4 linked regions of the Saccharomyces cerevisiae S288C genome follow. The protein of the gene in region 1 purifies or fractionates together with the protein of each later gene. This does not show direct contact. Each region holds a gene or a part of one and is shown in the gene's direction. Other genes may lie near its edges. The genes, in order: RPL3, NOP53, NSA2 and YGR054W.

Region 1 (5,492 bases):
GTAAGTACGGGTTGCACTTACCATCTGAATACGACAACATTATGAGAGACTTTACAAAAAAATCGTGGACACACTTTATAACCTCCGAGACCAAATTAGCTGTTCCTGAAGTGGTTGATTTAATCGACAATTTATTAAGGTATGACCATCAAGAAAGATTAACAGCAAAGGAGGCTATGGATCATAAGTTTTTCAAAACGAAGTTTGAATAATTGGACAACAATACTCTTAGCAAGGCAATTCTTTTTCCACCACTGATTTCCATTTATAAAAAGCAGGGGTTTTCCTTTTTTGTAGCTTGATATTAGAGAATATCCTTAATGTGAATATTAAATTGCAAACTCTATTTAACAACGAATGTAGATTATTATATGACCAGAAAATCACTTTATATAGATATAAGAGCCTTCCGTAATGCTATGCAAGTTTTGATGAATTATTATATTGTCGTGAGGCGTGTTCCGAGGAGTTTCGTCGCCATTGGGATAGAGATGCTCGTAATCGTACGTGTCTGGAAGTGCCTGCCGACGGTAGCGATGTCTACTCTCGTCCCAGACAATGGAATAGTTTTGGAATTGTTCTACATCATTTATTAGAACACATGATTCACGAAATCTCCCACGTTTGTCAATATCTCGCCTACGAACAGTGTCATCGAATGATATTGAACGCTGAGAGAGCCATTTACCTTTTGAGTAAAATACGCTGCCTTTTTTCAGCAATGAAGAAGCACTTCCCTCCTTTCTTACATCCAATAATTGCTTCCCTTGTTCCTTTATATTCCCCATAGGAAAGTCCGTTGGAGTAGGTTGCTCTCTTTCATGTATTCCAACCAGATCAGGTCCGTAAAGAACAGTAACGTCTATTTCTTTATTCCAGTTTATGCTTAGTGGATCAATTTTGTATTCATCTAAATTGAAGTGCTTTATGGACCACCTCCTCCATATACAATGATACAACCTAGCCATATATATGCTATAGTCAAACTCATTTTCAGAAGAGCAACTGGGTAACCTTAATAATTTATGCTTGCGCATTTTCAGCAACAAGCGCCAGGTAGTGGACACGTCCAAGCTATCATAGTTAAATTTGAAATGAAAATAATCTATGGCGGGGCGAATATAGTTGGTGGCGTTGTCTAATAGTGCTATATTTTTTTTTGTCAGCACACTGTCATCTAAACTAGTCATTTTCACTAACAAGGTAGTATATGTTAGAGTCTTGGAGATTTTCGACCTGTTCAGACTGGCCAAAAGAGTGCTAATATGAAAATGTTCCCTCTTATAATATATAACATCTGTGACAAAAATCTATTCTTCCACCTATCGCCTGCATAACATGAGGCCTTTCCTGCGGGATAGCTTTTGCTTCAGGTTCTTCTGAGGTTCTGAAAATCAATATATTTTTCCGACAATTTCTCACTATGCCTCTATCCCCCTTAAAAAGAAACACTTTCTACCCTCTTTTCTAAACTCTGCACACTAGACCGAGACAGCAAATCGGAGCCCGAGAGAAAATCCGGAGGACGGAAAAACTAGAAGTAATCTTATGCGGGGAGCATGCACCAGAACGCCCAGAAAACGTGAATGACACTACATACTTTGATACGGATGTTGGTATTTTTCCGGCTTTTTCTATTTTATCGATGCCGTGTCTGCTGCCATTACGTACAGGTAGGCAAAGGCAAACAAGAATAGCACTTTTTCACTTGCTGCTTTTTTTTGTGAATGAAGTTTATCGTATATTCTGTTAGTGCCGCTCGTATCAGCCACTTACGTTATCATTCTAAAGTAAGTATACGAAATGTGCAAACCTTAGTAGACGTTCAAGAATTGCTCGATAATTGCGAACAAACCAGCTGCTAAGCCGGGAAGTTAAGTCCTCAACACAGAAATGATGCAAACAATTTATTAAATTCAGTGGTAATGCAACAGCAAGAGGAAAGGTGGAGGGATTAACGCATTTCAGACAGCTTTATAGGGGGAAAGAAAGCACTCGCAAACTTGCTGCCTGTTCGCAGTCATTGGTTGCAAAAACTAAACTCTACTCACGCACACTGGAATGAATGGCAATATTCTTTTTTAGGTTAACCGGCCGGACAGTAATATAGTAATCGTTTTGTACGTTTTTCAAGAAGCGACGCACAACTGTTTTCCATTTTTTTTTTTTTTTTTTCAGTGATCATCGTCCATGAAAAAAATTTTTCATTTGTCTCTTTCGTGCTTCCTGGATATATAAAATACGATTTATTTAGTTGTCTTTGTCAATCCTCATCTTTCTTTACTCATTATTTCATTTCGGTTTTGTCATCTCTAGAACAACACAGTTACTACAACAATCAATCATGTCTCACAGAAAGTACGAAGCACCACGTCACGGTCATTTAGGTTTCTTGCCAAGAAAGAGAGCTGCCTCCATCAGAGCTAGAGTTAAGGCTTTTCCAAAGGATGACAGATCCAAGCCAGTTGCTCTAACTTCCTTCTTGGGTTACAAGGCTGGTATGACCACCATTGTCAGAGATTTGGACAGACCAGGTTCTAAGTTCCACAAGCGTGAAGTTGTCGAAGCTGTCACCGTTGTTGACACTCCACCAGTTGTCGTTGTTGGTGTTGTCGGTTACGTCGAAACCCCAAGAGGTTTGAGATCTTTGACCACCGTCTGGGCTGAACATTTGTCTGACGAAGTCAAGAGAAGATTCTACAAGAACTGGTACAAGTCTAAGAAGAAGGCTTTCACCAAATACTCTGCCAAGTACGCTCAAGATGGTGCTGGTATTGAAAGAGAATTGGCTAGAATCAAGAAGTACGCTTCCGTCGTCAGAGTTTTGGTCCACACTCAAATCAGAAAGACTCCATTGGCTCAAAAGAAGGCTCATTTGGCTGAAATCCAATTGAACGGTGGTTCCATCTCTGAAAAGGTTGACTGGGCTCGTGAACATTTCGAAAAGACTGTTGCTGTCGACAGCGTTTTTGAACAAAACGAAATGATTGACGCTATTGCTGTCACCAAGGGTCACGGTTTCGAAGGTGTTACCCACAGATGGGGTACTAAGAAATTGCCAAGAAAGACTCACAGAGGTCTAAGAAAGGTTGCTTGTATTGGTGCTTGGCATCCAGCCCACGTTATGTGGAGTGTTGCCAGAGCTGGTCAAAGAGGTTACCATTCCAGAACCTCCATTAACCACAAGATTTACAGAGTCGGTAAGGGTGATGATGAAGCTAACGGTGCTACCAGCTTCGACAGAACCAAGAAGACTATTACCCCAATGGGTGGTTTCGTCCACTACGGTGAAATTAAGAACGACTTCATCATGGTTAAAGGTTGTATCCCAGGTAACAGAAAGAGAATTGTTACTTTGAGAAAGTCTTTGTACACCAACACTTCTAGAAAGGCTTTGGAAGAAGTCAGCTTGAAGTGGATTGACACTGCTTCTAAGTTCGGTAAGGGTAGATTCCAAACCCCAGCTGAAAAGCATGCTTTCATGGGTACTTTGAAGAAGGACTTGTAAGAAGTTTTGTTAGAAAATAAATCATTTTTTAATTGAGCATTCTTATTCCTATTTTATTTAAATAGTTTTATGTATTGTTAGCTACATACAACAGTTTAAATCAAATTTTCTTTTTCCCAAGTCCAAAATGGAGGTTTATTTTGATGACCCGCATGCGATTATGTTTTGAAAGTATAAGACTACATACATGTACATATATTTAAACATGTAAACCCGTCCATTATATTGCTTACTTTCTTCTTTTTTGCCGTTTTGACTTGGACCTCTGGTTTGCTATTTCCTTACAATCTTTGCTACAATACCATTTGCCCTTGGGAGCTTGTTTCAGGCCTACGCAACCATAATGGAACCACTCGAAGGGACAAGCCGGATTATCACAAGCCACCATTGGCCCATAAGATACATTCCTACAGAAACAATAAACCTCCTCTTGATTATTATTACCCTCTGTTACATCACCCTGGTTAATCCCAATTGTGGGGCTAGTTATGCTCTCTTTTCTTTCCCTCGATTTAGCCTTTTTCAAGTTAATCTTTAAAAGCAGTTTTGGCTCCTTATATGCTCCTGGTTCTTCTAACGTCAACTTCGACTTGATATTCTCTAGCGAAGAGTTGAAATTTTTTGTCACTGACTTCTGTATCTCTAGTTCCTTCTTATGCTGCTTTAAGAAATGAATCTGATCATCGACCAGATCATTAATATAAGTCGCTACCAGCAACAGATCCCTACAGGCCCTTTCCATACCAGGCTCATCCTCTTCATTCTTGAATAAGTCGATTGTTTGCATCAGTCGAAGAGATCTTATTAGTTCACATGGTAAATGATCCAAAGTGCTAAGGAAACTGTACCTGATATCCGAATCCGAGTTTTCGTTGGCGAGATGTTCCATTGCTGTAGACGAAAAAAACTTCCTTGTAAAGCGGATGTGCTAGCGCATCATACATTTCAGTTCTATTAAGACTTTCACAGATGCTGTTGTGATGTTCTGTGAGCCAATCCCAAATGTTTGTATAAGGACGGAAATAAGACGGAGCGCCACGTGACTGAAGATTTTTTTTTTCTCGGATTTCTTGGTAATGGGCGGCCGGTATTTCCGGCGGCCAAAAAATGCGAGGATTTGGTTGGTGGAGAGGGTCGAGCGCCTTTACCCTGCGTAGATACTAAGGGGGCTCTTTCTAGTATATAAACAATTTGAATAATAACGAGGTTAGACGTCCAACTGGATCCATAGACTATCTAAGCTTTTAGTAGAGGCCATTCGTTTTCTTATTAATCATCGGTTTCACAATCTTTCTTTGTTAAGCAACATTTTATACATTTTTGTACTTTATCTTCAAATATTAAGGACAAGAAAGAAAAAGAAAAAGAATCCATATTCTATATTAGTGTAACACTATTTTTCTTAAATATTTTTTCCAGTACTCCCCCAGTTTGATAAAAAGCATTCATTGAATTTCCCCACATTTGTGATATCTTCAATTGATTAGTTTGAACTAGTTCTGAAAAATAATATTTTACAATTTGCATTTTCATTACACTATATCATCTACTATTTTTTCTCAGAAGCGGAAGTTATAACTAATTTGACAATGTTTTCAAATCTATCTAAACGTTGGGCTCAAAGGACCCTCTCGAAAAGTTTCTACTCTACCGCAACAGGTGCTGCTAGTAAATCTGGCAAGCTTACTCAAAAGCTCGTTACAGCGGGTGTTGCTGCCGCCGGTATCACCGCATCGACTTTACTCTATGCAGACTCCTTAACTGCCGAAGCTATGACCGCAGCTGAACACGGATTGCACGCCCCAGCATATGCTTGGTCCCACAATGGGCCTTTTGAAACATTTGATCATGCATCCATTAGAAGAGGTTACCAGGTTTACCGTGAAGTTTGTGCCGCCTGCCATTCTCTTGACAGAGTTGCTTGGAGAACTTTGGTTGGTGTTTCTCATACCAACGAAGAGGTTCGTAATATGGCCGAAGAATT
Region 2 (5,669 bases), on another chromosome or scaffold:
TGCAAGGCTACAACCAAATTAAAGCCAGTTTCACTAAATCCTTAATGCTGACTGTTAAACAATTTGGTCACACTATGTTGGATATTAAGGATGAGAGTTATTTGGTTACCCCACCTCCATTGCATATTGAAGGTATTCTTGTCGCTTCTCCCTTTGTTGAATTGGAAGGAAAATCATATATCCAATCTTCGACAGGTCTACTTTGTGTTATTGAATTTTCAGGTAGAGGCTACTTTTCTGGTAAAAAGAATTCATTCAAGGCAAGAATTTACAAAGACTCTAAAGATAGCAAGGACAAGGAAAAGGCATTATACACAATATCAGGCCAATGGTCTGGCTCTTCTAAAATAATCAAGGCAAATAAGAAAGAAGAATCACGATTATTTTACGATGCTGCTAGAATCCCTGCTGAACATCTGAATGTCAAGCCTTTGGAGGAGCAACACCCACTGGAAAGTAGAAAAGCCTGGTACGACGTGGCTGGTGCCATCAAATTAGGCGATTTTAACTTAATTGCCAAAACGAAAACTGAATTGGAAGAAACGCAAAGAGAATTGAGAAAAGAGGAAGAAGCTAAAGGCATTAGCTGGCAAAGAAGATGGTTCAAAGATTTTGACTACTCTGTCACGCCCGAAGAAGGCGCCCTTGTACCTGAAAAGGATGACACTTTCTTAAAACTCGCCTCTGCTCTAAATTTATCAACGAAGAATGCTCCAAGTGGTACTTTGGTGGGTGACAAAGAAGACAGGAAGGAGGATCTTTCATCCATTCATTGGAGATTCCAAAGAGAGTTGTGGGACGAAGAAAAGGAAATTGTTTTGTAAGGAGAACGATAAAGTAACAACTTGTTACCGTTGCACTAATATATTATCTATCTTTTCTTCTTTTTCCTTCCTTTTTCTCTTCATGTGACAGGAAAGGATATGAAATCATTAGAGGAACTAAGAAATCATTTTTACCATCCCCTAAATCTTATATTGTTTTGTTCTCTTTTCACTATAATGACTAGAATTTATTCTTTCGAACCACAAGAATATGCTATATTGCTGTTAAAGATGAAGCAGAAAAAACCTTTATCTATTTCTACTTCTTCCTTTAATTATTGATAGACAGATCGCTCATTTTTTTCTCATGATGTCATATCCTTTTTAATCATCATACGAAGGTTAAAATTTGAAGTTTACCAAGTTTTCATGCAAGTTTTGTTATTATTTACAACCTATTACTATATTTTATCTTCTCTGTTGATATCCTCACTTTTGTCTTTTTTATAACTCTCTAATTTTCTTATGTCAATTTTGTAGAACCACATAATCGATGGAGTATATGCACTTATACAACACTTTCTATACAAAGTTTATGGTATATCCCAAAATCTGTACGCTTATCGAACCATAGGCCTGTTTTATCACTCCATAACAATGAAACACAAGAGGCTAACGCCAAGTACTAAAGTAATATTATCATAATATTGCGTATTACCTAACAGGTGTGCTCTGAGAGAATACAGTCATATTTGACGAAATTCTATAATTCCATCAAAAAATTTTCCGTGCCCGAGCTTTTTCACTTCTAAAAAAGAAAAGAGCAATAAAAATGCGATGGGGTCCTTACATTACAACTTATGCTATTAGTTCGGCTTTCTTGTGATCCATACCATCCTCACGTTAATGAATCATTTATTTAAAAATGGCTCCAACTAATCTAACCAAGAAACCATCTCAATACAAACAGTCTTCAAGAAAGGGTAAGAAAGCATGGAGAAAAAATATCGATTTATCTGACGTAGAACAATATATGGAAAAGAAAATTGATCATGAAATTACGCATGGTACCAGTGATATAACCTCTTTGCAAAATGATGCTCTTTTTCATGTTGATGTTGAGGGTGATGAGATATTGAAAAATAAATTAATTAAAAGGAAACAAATTAAGAAGGTTCTAAAAAGTAAAGAGATTTTAGACGCCGTTAAAACGAATTCAAAAATTGCAGCACTAAATCACCATAAGAATAGTAGTGGAAATCCTAATAAGATTCAAGGTGTTTCTAAACACGAATTAAAGAAATTAATGGCTTTGGCTGGCAGAGTACACGGCGAATCGAAGATCAAGAATAGAGTTGCCAAAGACGGTCTAGTTAAAACAACGGCTGGCGACTTATGGGGTGAAGAATCCAATTCAAAGAAACAGAAGGTCAAATTACCTTCCGGTATCAAACTTGATGTGGAAAAAAAGGACCAGATACCTGAAGAACTATTGAAAAAATCCACGACAAGTTGGTCTACTGCTTCAGTCAGACCAAGTACTTTAGATATAGAGCCAATTGCAGTAAAAGAATTCACAGAAATTCCACATGCTGGTAAATCCTACAATCCCAACAATAAAGCTTGGTCAGAATTGATAAACAAAGAGTATAAAGAGGAAAAGGCAAGAGAAGATGAAAGAATCGCCTTGGAAAAGTACAAAGAAAGAATTAGACATTTAATGGAAACTTTAGATGACAATGAAGAGGAAGAGTCTTCATCAAACGAAGAAGAAGAAGAAGAAGAAGAAGAAAATGAAAATGAAAATGAAAGTACGCAATGTAGTGGATCTGATAAGGAAATAAAACTATCAATAAATAAGCCTGTGAAGAATAAAAAGAAAACAAAATATCAAAGAAACAAGGCAAAGAGACATGAAGAGAAAGTAAAATTGCAACAAGAGTTGAAAGAATTGAGACAACGTGTTAAAGATTTAGAAGAAGTTATCAATTCTGAAGAGACTGAGATACTTTCAGCCATAGAGTCAGATAGCAACAAGGTTAAAAAAAGCAAGAAAAATAAGAAACACAAGTTAGGGACGAAATACTCTGTGATTGATGAAAGATTGGAGATTAAATTTTCTGACGAATTATCTGACTCATTGAGAAAACTGAAACCTGAAGGAAATCTGCTATATGATACTGTGAGAAAACTACAAAGTTCTGGTAAGGTCGAAACAAGAGTGCCCGTTAGGAAAGGTAGAAAGTATAAGCAGAAAATCACTGAAAAGTGGACACATAAGGACTTCAAATAGAGTTTTTTGTTTTACAGTATATGTTTCCATGAAAAGGTTGTCCTTGATACGTGGATTCATCAAGTGAGATATATATATATATGTTCATATTTGTGTTGGCAAGACCAACAACTGTATAGTAGGTAACAAATTGTTTCATTTTCTTTTCGTTCTCTGCCCTTTTCTAGTTTGAGAGGGCATTCCCATGTCGATATCTCTAGATATCAGTTAAACATTCAAAAGTACAAATTCAGTTACGGAAATAATATATAAATTATATTCGCTAAATAAAATCTCTCCCTTTCTAGGGTGTTTTCAAATAATTTCAAGCTTTTCCCGTAGCTTCGTCCTCTCATCTTCCCAACCTTTTACTCTTTCTAGTTTTCTCTCCAATTCCTCAATCTCGTTGTCAATCGACGTGATTGCTTCATCGGTACCAACTGCCTGTAATTGCCATTTGCCATCTCGATTTTCACCGATCTCTAGTAACATTTCATGATATTTGATTAATGTGGGTCTTTGTGATATGGAAATGAAATTGAATCTGTATCGTTTTAAAAGATTGAACAGATAGTCTTCCATGTCAACACTAATTGCGTTTGTAGCCTCATCTAATACTACGTATAGTGGTTTATGAAACATGATTCTAGCAAAATTTACTCTTTGCTTTTCACCACCACTTAATAAGTCCTTCCAATCGGCAATGGCATCTAGGTAAGTTAAGCCAACGCCTCTTTTTAAAAGATAATCTAGTTTCACTTCGACTAATATCTGTACTAGCTCCTTATCTCTAAACCCCCTATCAAAGAATTCATCCGAGGACATGGGGTATATAATTTGGTCTCTTAAAGTTCCACCTCTACTAAAATATGGTTTCTGAGGAATAAAAAAAATATTATTTTCTGAAGGAATCGACAATAATCCATTTTTGTTATACACTGGCCATATTTCAGCTATAATGCGTTGAATTGAACTTTTACCGCAACCATTTGGCCCTAATATTAACAGGCTGGAGCCAGAACCCTGCAAAAATGGTAACTTTATATCATTTGCCTTCGATAAGTCTTGTATAGAATTGGACTTTGAAGTTATTGGGTCAATATGCAAAGGAATTTGAAATGTAAGCTTGTTAATCAGCTTTATGCCTTCGCTCGCCCTTACTGATGGAATGATTACGTCTATATTTTCTAACCGAATACCGTTAAAATTGCGTTGAATAGTACCACGAATAGCATCTTGCGAATTATCCGTGGTGGGTAATAAGTTGGAATTTCTGGAAGCGTCTTCTGTACGTATTGACAGGATTGAAGGAACAGCGCCGTAATTAAAGTTCAGAGAGTGAACCCTGTGTAAGACGGAAAGCAGAGTAAATATCCTATTAGTGTAGCCGGTCAATTGTGAGATGTCCTTTATCGAATGCATCAATCTCGAGCCTGCATCTGCAAGCGACAACATCAACCTTTTGTTGACTATAAATTCCTTCATATTTTTTTCCTCTGAATTGATGCCTGTCGCTAAGGTAGACATAACGATAGGGATTGAGGCAAAAACATAACCCAAACCGGACCATGTATATTTTAAAACATAGTCTTCCAACATATTGTAACCAAACTTGACTTTATCAACCAGCAGCATTTTTTCCATCAGCACATCATACAACTCTTTAACTTTCGTCCTTTCCACTGCTGTTCCTTGGTAAAATGCGATCTCTTCGCTATTATTTATCATGTTTAGATGATAATTGTAGTAATCGCCGTCTGAAGCAGATCTCTCGCCTGCCAATTTACCTAATGGTGGCGTGTATTTCCTCAAAATAAACCCAGTAATGAAATAATTAACAAATATACCTGCTACTCCCACAGTTCCCAAATTATCACGTAAATAAACCGAAAAGAATATTAAATCAATAACTGGCTTTGCAATGTTTGCAAAAACGGAGCATGTCGCATCGCAAAATTTTGCAACATCATTAGTAATGGAGTTGTCGATATTCTTGATTACCGAATTGGACGCCTTTGCATCAAAAATTAATTTGTAAAATGTTAGTCTTTTATCCAAATACATGTCATGGATGTAACGTGTCAAATTTACCCTAAAGTTTAAACTCAACTTCCTTTGAAGTAGCTTAATAGCACTATTAGTATAAGAAGCAGGGACAGCAATTAAAAACCAACACCCTAAGTCCCACAGAAAGCTTCTTCCTCTACCAGCAATTATATTTTTGACTATTTGTCCATCCAGCTTGGCTACAAACAAAGAGAGCCAAGTTCTCATCACCAGGAAAAAAATTTGAGCAGTTAAAAGAAGAAAGTTTTTGTCAAAAACTGTTGGAATTAAAATTTTAGACAAGACGTTCATTTGGTTTAAAAATTTTGAGTAGAATAACTGCGAATTCTTGGCTCTTTCCAGTTCTACATTTTTAAAAAGAAACTTATCGTGTTCATATACATCGTTATCCTTTGGTGGAATAAATATCCTTTTCCTTTTTTTTTTATCTGTAGCATTCATAAATTTGTTGTCATCGGGACTCTGGCGGTCGACTAATTCCACTTCAGGAATATACATTATTCTTGCACCACTGTCTAATTGCATTTGAGATCTTGTTCTTCTTATTAAAGGTCTCCTATTCCTTC
Region 3 (4,952 bases), on another chromosome or scaffold:
ACTTAATGCCGCCTGATATAATCACAATGCAAAAATAAGGACAACCAAACGTGTTAACGAAGTGCTTTTAAAATTGTGACTGGATAAATGAAAAATGTCAACTCCTTAAATAAAGAATATGTAGTCAGTTCAGAAGTGAGATTTAGTTTGATCAAAATTCGTTACCTAAACTTTTTCCATATGCTAGTATGTTGCCACCTGCAGAAATAAATATAAGACTTTTTCTAAACAAAATGACTAGTCTTTAAGCGTCAATTGACTCCCTTTCCAAAAAAAAGAGTAATACGTTAGCTTTCTACGCTCAGTGATGAATATGAAGGGAACGAAGGAACAAGCCGCTGTTAATTTGAAGTCGTTCAACGATGATTATTTAACTTGATGAAGCACCATTTGCCTGCTCTCAACAGCTTGTCAGAAATACAAACATCACTCACACTTTCTGCCTTCCCTGGAAAGAAAGAAAAAAATTAGCTACAATTTAGTCGCTTGATACGTGTTGATTTTATTTTGTGATCTTTAGAATGTGATGAGCATTTAGCTTTTGGTTACGAACCATGAATAGATAATCCATGGTGAGTTTTATATACTATATAATCAATAGTTCATGGGTATTAGGCCATAGGAAGAGGAACGGTCCAACCGTTGCGTCCTTATTTTGGAACGGAGGGGAACACGTGTTTTCGAAGCAGTTCTTCAGGATCCGTATTAGAGTAATTCTCTTGCTCCTTGAGGTATCGTTCGCGATTTACTTGTTCTGTTCTTTTTCTTAGGAGTCTGCTTTCAAACATGATTTTTGCTAGTTCGTATTTTCTGTTTTTCCTTTGCAGTTCTGTAACTTTGTCAAGTATTTTGCTGTACTGTTTCTTTGTTTCTGACAAGATTTCTGCATCGTTCTTAGCCTGTGGAGATGTATCAGTAGAGTCGGTTGTAGTTGGATCAGGGTCTTTAGAGTTATTTGTCTCCTTTTCTTTCTTGGAGAATATTTTAGTAACCCAACCATCCCAGGACCCTAATTGGGTTTGAGCTGATGTCAGACTATCCATTTTCCCCTTTACTAGTTTTAATTGAGCCACGGCTTCATTATACTCTGTACTATAGAGGGGAATGACAAATTGTGGATTATCTTGTAAATGTATTTCGCATGTATATAGCCAATCTGGACCAGATGCGTTGTAAAGGACGGTAGTGGATGGTTTGCTACAGATCGCACATGGTTGCATGTCCTTTAGAGCGACCTTTCTGGCAACGTACTCATTTATCATTGTATATATACTATATCGTGGCACTTCTGGTGTGCCTTATTCCCACTATATTGTTAATTTATGGCGATTTAGTCATGTTCTGCTTAGGACTATAAAAAAAAAAAAGAAAAAAAAAGGTAGAGTTTATTCTGGAGGGACTAATAATCATAAAGGCAATGGTGCCTAAACCTCTCACACGTTAATGTCGTGAAAGCCAAAATTCTTGTTTTTAATAGCTTATATACCAGTGCCCTTCATTTATATTTAACTTTTAAATATTAAGTCTATAAACGCTTTAGGATATAAGAAAATAAACTTTTTGTATCTACAGTCTCCTTTGAGCTCTATCCCAGGCAGAACGAGTCTTCTTGGCCCCACGTCTCGAAGTGCTATCTTCCAGCTTCCTCTTTGAGCTGAATATACCAAAATCTTCACCACCGATAACGTTCATCCTTGCATTTCTTTCTCGTTGCTTTTGCTTCCTTTTTTCAGCTTTATTTGTAATATTCAATCTGGTAAAATTATCTTCTTCGAATGAAGTGACTCTACGTTCCTTCTCTGTGTCTCTCAAAGATTTGATACCGCCTCTTCCATGGTTCACAATGTCAGCACCAATAGATGCACTCCAGTCCGGTTGGTCCGATGACTCTCTAATATATTCTTCCATGGCTTGCATACGCGATTTGTTACTACGATCTTTGTGTTCTCTGGCATCGAATCTATCTTCAAAATGCGTTTGTTGCGGTGGTAGAACAGCCGTAATCTTTGGTGGTTTATACACGCCAGTCTCATTGTCATCGTTTTCTTCCCCGTTTTCTTGCTTAGCCGTTTCCTCCACCCTGTATGCTGATGATTTTTTATTTGTGTTGATAATTCCAGAGGTATTTGGCCTGTATGCTATTTCATCCTCACTAGACTCATCATCTTCGCTATCGTCGTTGCCGCTATGATTCACTAAGGTAGATTTTTCCAGTGCACGCTTCTCAGCGTCTTTATATTCCTTTTCCATTTTCACATATGCTCTAGTCAGCTTGTCCAATTGGTAAGCCAACTTTTTTTCTAGTGGTTTAACACCACGCTCTAATACCACACGGTGTTGAATAGAGCGTTCACGTGCATCCATAGCAGAAGGATCTTTGCACTCGTCGTCTAGCCTATTGCCTATAAGCATCAATAGAGAATTTATGTACCCTAGCATGCTCCCATTTTTTAAGGATAGCAGCGATACTTTCTCAGCAGGCTTCTTAGCGTCGTAAAATAGATGCTCATGTAGTTGGTTACTTTCAGGAATCTCATCGGTCGCAGAATTACTATAAATCCCAGACAACCTCTCCAAGGATTCTGATGTCGCAGTGAGCGAGCCGTTGATATCTTTTAATAATGCATTAAGTTCAGACATTCTTGGATTTGTGTGTTAGTTGACAATTTTAATTTCTTCATCTCTTTTGACACTTTAGAATGGTATAGCTCATCGGTTTCTTTTCTTCAACCTTGCAGGAAAGGCGTAAAAAATTTTATGTCGTCGGCAACGGTTCTAGTAACAATCCGATGAAAAATTTTCCGGACAGCGATGAGATGCACTTTTAAGACAATTGAATGGATTAGGTATCAGTTAGAGAAGAACTTGGTTTTCGTATCTGGCGTTTTTATCTTTAGTCAGTAGTCAGTCTCGTATCAATACTGATATATACAACGAAACAATGCCTCAAAACGATTATATCGAGCGTCACATCAAACAGCATGGTAAAAGATTAGATCACGAAGAAAGGAAACGTAAGAGAGAGGCAAGAGAGTCTCATAAGATTTCTGAACGGGCCCAGAAGTTGACTGGTTGGAAGGGTAAGCAATTTGCTAAGAAGAGATATGCTGAAAAGGTATCAATGAGAAAGAAGATTAAGGCACATGAACAATCTAAGGTCAAGGGTTCATCCAAACCATTGGATACCGATGGTGATGCTTTGCCGACATATCTATTGGACAGAGAACAAAATAACACAGCCAAAGCTATTTCTTCATCGATCAAACAAAAGAGGTTGGAAAAAGCTGATAAGTTTTCAGTTCCGTTACCAAAGGTTCGTGGTATAAGTGAAGAAGAAATGTTCAAAGTTATTAAAACAGGTAAATCTAGATCCAAGTCATGGAAGAGAATGATAACGAAACACACTTTTGTGGGTGAAGGTTTCACTAGAAGACCAGTTAAAATGGAAAGAATCATCAGACCAAGTGCGTTGAGACAGAAAAAGGCAAACGTCACTCATCCGGAATTAGGTGTAACTGTCTTCTTGCCAATTTTGGCAGTTAAGAAGAATCCACAATCTCCAATGTACACTCAGTTAGGTGTTTTGACTAAAGGTACCATTATTGAAGTTAACGTTTCGGAATTGGGGATGGTTACTGCTGGTGGTAAAGTTGTCTGGGGTAAGTATGCTCAGGTCACAAACGAACCAGACAGAGACGGCTGTGTCAATGCGGTTTTGCTTGTATGAGCAAAAAAGTGCTCCGTTTTTTTTTTTTTTATCTCGATGGTTCAAATTAGGTTTACTTTTAATTTAATAATACGATATACGTCTACAAGCACAAAAGAACAGGTATATAAAAAATGTACGCTCTGTCCTGTTCGGGTTTCTCTTTTTACTTCTCGTCATTCTCTGTACAATATAACAAATCAAGAATTTATTATCCGGTTCTTTTTTCCTCACGACAAATAACCGATACTCTCCGTGTGTAGGTGACTGGCAAGAGAGGGATTGCCTAGTACGCTCGTTTCAAGTATGTACCTCACGAGAGCAATTTCAACTGTAGTATAATACCCAGGTCACTATTCAGTTTTAAAATGCAAGAAAATTAAAAAACAAAAAACGTATGGTTGTAAAAAGCAGGGCACATTATATGTATATAAATAAAAAAAAAAATTAATAAAATCTAAAAAGAGGATATAAAAAATAAGAGGCGTAAGGCAATATAAATTATTGGTATCATGCTCCTTTTGAAAAGGAAAACCTCCTCTTATGGCGAACTTGAAAAGAACTTTGCGTAATCATCAAAAAAAGCACTTCACGTTTTCCTGCATTTTCTTTGCTGCTTTCCATGTTGCTGTAAAAACAACAATGATTAATCATTTCATGAGCAACTCAGATAAAATTAACAAAAAAGAGTTTTCTCTTTACTATTGTTAGCTGAAATATAAAACAAGATGATTGAGGCAGAAAGAATGTTGGGAAAACGGACACCATAAATAAAAAAAAAATTGGTGCGGAATAATCATTCTTGACCAAACCCTATGGTTTCTTCCACGGCCAATGTTAGCTTCTGTTTCATGCTGTCATAATCAACGTATTGTGGCAAATCAACTCTGTTAAAACATGTGTGAGATTTTGGCAATTGTTGTACTTCACCAGCTTTTTCAATAGTGAATCTTCTTGGACCATCAGAGCCTTGCAAATCTTTAAACCCGTTGACAGGTATACGAGAAGTACCAGTGGTGAACTGCAATAAACGGGCTCTTTGTTCATTATCCCATTCACTGACACACTTCCAAAACCATTGAATGACCTCGTCTGACTCTTGGTAACCACGATAATCAGTGTGTTTCTTCCAATCTTCAATGTCAATTTCCGCAATACCACCGATCAATAGTTCTAGTTCACGCTCATCAAACACAGTTACTAAGTCTTCGGGGATTAATTCGTTAAAACCATCCATGAATGCCTT
Region 4 (6,334 bases), on another chromosome or scaffold:
CTGATGTTCGGCGATTGCCTTTTTAGAGTCTCCAAATCAAAGAAGGTTCAGCATCTAAAAAATTTCGATGAGTTTGAAAAAGATCCATTTGCATTCATTTACAGGAAATACGTAGTACCAAGGCTCTCCTGTGGTTACAATGATGAAGAAGACCTACACGTTAGCCTGCAGCATACGAGGCAGTACATATGGCAAGATCTACCCGACATTTATGATGTCTTCCATTTGTGCAAGATTATGGTTGATACCTTATTAAAGGTATCGAACGCTAAAGAGAGGTCGATGGAGAATTTCATCAATGAAGTTGATTCTGCATGGAACAAAGATAGCTCGATGGACAGCTGCTTCTCGTACCAAAATAAGATTGATCTGTTTTGGGAACAGTGGTCTGTGAACACGGAAACAGTACCAGCAAAGTTCCAATTGAAAAATTTTGAGAAACCTTGCCTAATTCAAGATGGAAAATAAGAAGTAAAAAAGACCTTTTGAAAGTTTCGCCTCATTTTCCTTGATCTGACTTTTTATCCCCTGCTTATCCAATTTTAGTTAGGAACTTTGGCATAATTTCAGTATTACATACTACCTAATCGACATAAAATAATATTACATATTCATTTTTTTAAAAAATAATCATAATCAATTTATCCTTTTTATTCCTTTTTTCTCCTGTGCAAGGTTGATGGTGATGTTTATGATGGTGTGTTTATTATTTACAAATAAAGATGCTATCTAATTCTTGTATATCGTATTAACATGCAAATGCACCGCGAGTGGCAATTTTCTTCTCGTAATGGATCAGTTCAACATCTTCAATGGTATGAACCAGAATTTTCGAATTTTCTTCGTTAAATTCGAATATGAATGTTCCCTTAATCAGCCGGGATAATCTCTTTTTTTTACTTCTTTTACCGTCGCCATCATTTTTCTTCTTCTCATCTTCTTTGGAATTTTGAGTTTCGTTGACCTTATTTTCCATTGACCTTTCAGCTGCATTTTCAAGGTACTCAGAGATAACACTTTGGTTCAAATTATTGGCTGTAGGATGTAAAATGTAGTCTATGACTGGTACCGACCTCATTGAAAATGAACCGCCTGCACCATTGCCTCGTTTCTCCTCTTTCAATCTGTCATTAATTTCTAATTTGGTAATCTTGCAATGGTCTTCCGGTATGCAGCTTTGCCATTTGATCACCAATTTGTCATTACATGTTATGGTATTATAACTCTGAAGAGCAGATTTAACTTCTTCATCATGCGATGTCGATGTTAGAGTCTTTACTGAACTTATATGCAAGCGACATTCATCGCCCAAGATAAACTTTCGTACTATCATTCGCATTGCATTCAAAGAAGCCATGTATTTTGATTTTCCATGTAACACTGGAATATATGGATGCGATGTTGGAAATAGTCTAAAAACAACGTTATCCGCCAACACTGACTCCTTGAACATTTTTTGTAACAAATTGGGAACACCTTTAACCACTAAATAATCTGTTATTTGCCCCAAATTGGCCACTTTTTGAGAATTGGAGTACCATCGAGGAAAGATTCCTTTGATAGATATTATGCCGGCTCTGCAAACACACTTTAGTAACATAAGTCTTTCCCCCTATTATCTATGAATATAAACTGTCTATCTTTCCTTGGTTGTGATGTATCGTTTTCCGTAGAGGCTTGCAGCTTTATGGCTCATACCTGTCATCCCTCTTTATGGGCCTTTTAAGGGCGCTCTCTACATTGTATTCTATTCATTTTTTTCGTAACCGTAACTACGCGCCTTCTTAACGCAAGGCGCTCGACTCATCATGAGATGCGTATGAATGTCTTTCAGTGTATAGAAATACATCTCACCAAATCTATTTATTTAACTAATATTTCTTTTAATATTTTCCTCAAGAAACTCAGGCAGTTAATGTTGTGTCCTATTTTTTTTAGTTCTTTCCCATTTTTATAGCACTCGTACAAAAGAAATCGAAATATTTCAATATGTTTAGACTCGGTTCTATGTGTTAAAACTGCAAGATGAAAAAGTAACATCTATCTTAGATTAAGGTCCTTTCTTTATATTCTTTACTTTATTAGTGAGCAGAAATATTATTAAAAATTGCCGCTGTCATACTGTACGATATTATTACCCGACCGCAGAATGTTCCTCAATACTTTCTTTTTCTTCCTTTTTTTCACTTCGCTTTCTTCATGTCCATCAATGAAATTTCAGCTTCATAGCGATTTATTTTCAGTGTACGTTATTCAATGAAGATTCCTTTTCCTCGATCTATCCAGACGACTAGACATAGCGAGAATTCTTTACGGTAGAAGCAACCTATAGATTACCGAATCATAACTTTCTTTAGTGTTGATTGAGACGTGTTGTGTTTAAACTATCCATTGCATCTCGATAAAAAAACATAGTACTACAACAAACAGTCAGGTTCAATAACACCTAAACATTATGTCATCTCAGTTTTTCCTGAAAACCTCTCAGGATATAGAGCTCTTCCAAAGCTACCCAACTTTTGAGCAATCCAACACAAACTCCAAGGATTTCCCTGTCATTTCCTCGGTTTTATCGCCATGTGGCAGATTTTTGGCTTTATCTACGAAGGAGAACGTCAAAGTTTTTACAGGTCCATGTTTGGATAACGTTCTATTAACAATGAAGTTGTCCGACGTCTATGACCTACACTTCTCTCCAGCAGGTAACTACTTAAGCACTTGGGAGAGAGCGTCTATACAAGACCCAAATCACAAGAACGTTAAAGTTTGGTATTTGAATAAACCATTTAAGAAAGATTGCGTTTCGGAGGATATAGTCCCTGCTTACGAATATCAAGCCAAATCCCAAAGCGGTTGGTTTTTACAATTCTCCAAATTAGACAATTATGGGCTAAGACTTTTTAAACACGACTTGAAGATTGTTAAATTAAGCTCCGCTAATGCCGACAATTTCGACTTCCAATCTCCGTTTGCTGTCTTGTCTGATGATGAAACGTCCCAACATTTCACCACCTACCTAATCTCTCCAGCTGAACATCCAACAATTTGTACTTTCACACCAGAAAAGGGTGGTAAACCGGCTCAATTAATCATATGGGCCCTCTCTGAAGGTAAAATCACCAAGAAAATTGCCTCCAAAACTTTCTTTAAAGCTGATTCCTGCCAATTGAAATGGAATCCATTAGGTAATGCTATTTTATGTTTAGCTATTACTGATTTTGATTCCTCAAACAAATCATATTATGGTGAAAACACACTATACTTACTGTCTTTCCAAGGTGTCAACGGGACTTTGGGTGGTAACTCTGTACGTGTTTCTTTAACCACTGGACCTGTCCACGATTTCACTTGGTCGCCAACTTCAAGGCAATTCGGTGTCATCGCTGGTTACATGCCAGCAACCATTTCCTTTTTTGACTTAAGAGGTAATGTTGTCCATTCATTACCTCAACAAGCCAAAAATACCATGCTTTTCTCTCCCTCTGGTCATTACATTCTTATCGCCGGGTTTGGTAATTTACAGGGCTCCGTGGAAATCCTAGATCGTCTCGACAAATTCAAGTGTGTGAGTAAATTTGACGCTACCAACACTTCTGTCTGCAAATGGTCACCGGGTGGAGAATTTATCATGACAGCTACCACTTCACCAAGATTGAGAGTGGATAACGGCGTTAAAATATGGCATGTATCAGGCTCTTTAGTATTTGTTAAAGAGTTCAAGGAGCTTTTGAAGGTAGACTGGAGGTCACCATGTAATTACAAAACTTTGGAAAACAAAGACGAAGCATTTTTCGAGAACCATATCATTAATAACTGGGAACCGCTACCTGATTCGACCACATCTTCACTTGATCCTAAAATATCCAATAAATCAGAATTGCAAATACATTCTAGCGTTCAAGAGTACATAAGTCAACACCCAAGCAGAGAAGCAAGCTCCAATGGAAACGGATCTAAGGCCAAAGCTGGAGGCGCTTATAAACCACCTCACGCAAGAAGAACAGGCGGTGGACGTATTGTCCCCGGAGTTCCTCCTGGTGCAGCAAAGAAGACCATCCCAGGGCTAGTTCCGGGCATGAGTGCCAACAAGGACGCCAACACCAAGAACAGGAGAAGAAGAGCCAATAAAAAGTCAAGTGAAACGTCACCTGATTCTACTCCGGCCCCATCTGCTCCTGCCTCCACAAATGCCCCCACAAACAATAAAGAAACTTCTCCAGAGGAGAAGAAAATAAGATCTTTACTAAAGAAATTAAGGGCTATTGAAACCTTGAAGGAAAGACAGGCCGTCGGTGACAAACTAGAAGATACGCAAGTTCTAAAAATTCAAACTGAAGAAAAAGTGTTGAAAGATTTGGAAAAGTTGGGTTGGAAGGATGAATAAACTAGAAGAAACTGATGTATCCATACAACTGTGTAAATATTAACAACGTCAAATAATACTACTTTGAATTGTTTTTTACTGTTTCCCAGGAGAATTACGCCAACCTCCCCCCTTTCTTTTTTTCCCTTGTTTTATTGTACTTTTCCACATATTTTTTTAACATCAAATAGTAATTGATACATACATAATTAGTGAGCATTTTCCTTATTTTTACGTCTCTTCTTGGCGGATTGCCACCAGCCGCATCTTACAATGTATGCCACGATACCGCCAGGCAATAAATGAATATGGAGTGTCACTTCGGCTCCGTAAGCCGGCGCTGCATCCGCCACCACAGTTTTTTTTAGCGTCGCTGTCGCCGCTTTGCCACAGAAAAAGAAAAAAAAAAAAGAAACGGCGCCGTGTAGGGTTTTGTATAACAGATCGGCCTAGCAGCCAGGAGATGGCACGGCGCCAACTGAAAAGTTAGACTGTGGAATTGCCGTTCACCACACTCGAGTGGCATCTAATAAACTGCCACAGTTGACTCAAGCGGTGCTACCTTCGCAGTTATTGCACACCATGGTAACACATAACACAGTCTTGCATTACAAATGTGGTTCCTCCTACTTGGCGGTGAATTTCTTGAGTCAGCCCGTTATTTTCATATGGTGATGTAAGATTACATACAGTATATATATATAAGGATGATTCTCACACAAACTTTTCCGCTGTTCATCATATTTTGTTTTTGGATTAGTTTCACATTCTGTAGAAATCTTTAAAGACAAGAGAAGAGAAAACAAAGGCGGAGCAATGTCGGAAGGAAGAACGTTTCTGTCACAGTTGAATGTCTTCAACAAGGAGAACTATCAATTTTCTTCTTCTACTACAAAAAAGGAAGTAAGTAACTCGACAGTGGATGCTGACAACGGTGCCTCCGATTTTGAGGCAGGCCAGCAATTTGCTACAGAATTGGACCAAGGTGAAAAGCAGTTAGGTATTTTGTCGTGTATTGGGCTTATCTGTAATAGAATGCTTGGTACCGGTGTTTTCGCCGTTTCCTCGACCATTTACACACTATGTGGGTCTGTGGGGCTTGCATTAATTATGTGGGCAGTTGGCGCCATTATTGCCATTTCTGGGTTATATGTATACATGGAATTCGGTACGGCTATACCGAAAAATGGTGGTGAAAAAAACTACCTGGAGGCTATTTTCAGGAAACCAAAATTCTTCATTACCTGTATGTATGCTGCGTATATTTTCTTCCTAGGTTGGGCTGCTGGTAATTCCATCAATACAGCTATTATGTTTTTAACTGCTGCTGATACTGAAGTGACCAAATGGAATCAAAGAGGTATTGGTGTGGCCGTCGTTTTTTTTGCATTCCTAATTAATTCTCTGAATGTCAAGATTGGTCTATATTTGCAAAACATTTTAGGTATTTTCAAGATTGGTATTGTCCTCTTCATTTCTATTACCGGTTGGGTTGCCCTTGGCGGTGGTCTCAAAGATGGTTATCAATCTCACAACTTTCGTAATGCTTTTGAAGGTACTGAAACCGCCACTGCTTATGGTATTGTTAACGCCTTATATAGTGTTATTTGGTCGTTTGTCGGTTACTCCAATGTTAACTATGCACTTGGTGAAGTTAAGAACCCTGTGAGAACTTTGAAGATTGCTGGTCCTACATCGATGGTCTTCTTGGCTATAATCTACATTTTTGTGAACATTGCTTACTTCGCTGTGGTTCCAAAAGATAAGTTAATTTCTTCAAAATTGATTTTAGCTGCTGACTTCTTCGATATTGTGTTTGGCGGCCAAGCCAAGAGAGCAGCAGCCGCACTGGTCGGGTTGAGTGCCTTAGGAAATGTTCTTTCTGTCATTTTTTCTCAGGGTAGAATTATTCAACAACTAGGACGTGAAGGTGTGTTGCCCTTTTCTAATTTCTTTGCCTCTTCTAAGCCA

Evidence for each region.
Region 2: the proteins of RPL3 (region 1) and NOP53 purify together in Saccharomyces cerevisiae (affinity purification with mass spectrometry; 4 studies listed by BioGRID, with this or other methods). This does not show direct contact.
Region 3: the proteins of RPL3 (region 1) and NSA2 purify together in Saccharomyces cerevisiae (affinity purification with western blotting; 4 studies listed by BioGRID, with this or other methods). This does not show direct contact.
Region 4: the proteins of RPL3 (region 1) and YGR054W purify together in Saccharomyces cerevisiae (affinity purification with mass spectrometry; 3 studies listed by BioGRID). This does not show direct contact.

The regions. Positions count from the first base shown.
Region 1 is NC_001147.6:442,342-447,833, forward strand, and holds RPL3 (60S ribosomal protein uL3 RPL3), read left to right. Parts: upstream 1-2,344; coding exon 2,345-3,508; downstream 3,509-5,492. Other genes in the region: casein kinase 2 catalytic subunit CKA2, read left to right, coding at 1-212; YOR062C (uncharacterized protein), read right to left, coding at 384-1,190; YNG1 (Yng1p), read right to left, coding at 3,738-4,397; ubiquinol--cytochrome-c reductase catalytic subunit CYT1, read left to right, coding at 5,098-5,492. UniProt on the Saccharomyces cerevisiae protein: Component of the ribosome, a large ribonucleoprotein complex responsible for the synthesis of proteins in the cell.
Region 2 is NC_001148.4:273,550-279,218, reverse strand, and holds NOP53 (Nop53p), read left to right. Parts: upstream 1-1,689; coding exon 1,690-3,057; downstream 3,058-5,669. Other genes in the region: oxysterol-binding protein KES1, read left to right, coding at 1-824; ATP-binding cassette long-chain fatty acid transporter PXA1, read right to left, coding at 3,352-5,669. UniProt on the Saccharomyces cerevisiae protein: Late-acting factor in the nuclear maturation of 60S ribosomal subunits, which is required for normal acquisition of export competence. Required for the export of the large subunit.
Region 3 is NC_001137.3:412,169-417,120, reverse strand, and holds NSA2 (rRNA-processing protein NSA2), read left to right. Parts: upstream 1-2,941; coding exon 2,942-3,727; downstream 3,728-4,952. Other genes in the region: VFA1 (Vfa1p), read right to left, coding at 651-1,262; small subunit rRNA maturation protein LCP5, read right to left, coding at 1,567-2,640; RSP5 (NEDD4 family E3 ubiquitin-protein ligase), read right to left, coding at 4,503-4,952. UniProt on the Saccharomyces cerevisiae protein: Involved in the biogenesis of the 60S ribosomal subunit. May play a part in the quality control of pre-60S particles. Under normal, rapid growth conditions, high levels of NSA2 would allow the progression of pre-60S particles through the ITS2 processing.
Region 4 is NC_001139.9:594,238-600,571, forward strand, and holds YGR054W (translation initiation factor 2A), read left to right. Parts: upstream 1-2,455; coding exon 2,456-4,384; downstream 4,385-6,334. Other genes in the region: protein kinase FMP48, read left to right, coding at 1-468; MCO32 (Mco32p), read right to left, coding at 749-1,600; MUP1 (Mup1p), read left to right, coding at 5,180-6,334. UniProt on the Saccharomyces cerevisiae protein: Functions in the early steps of protein synthesis of a small number of specific mRNAs. Acts by directing the binding of methionyl-tRNAi to 40S ribosomal subunits.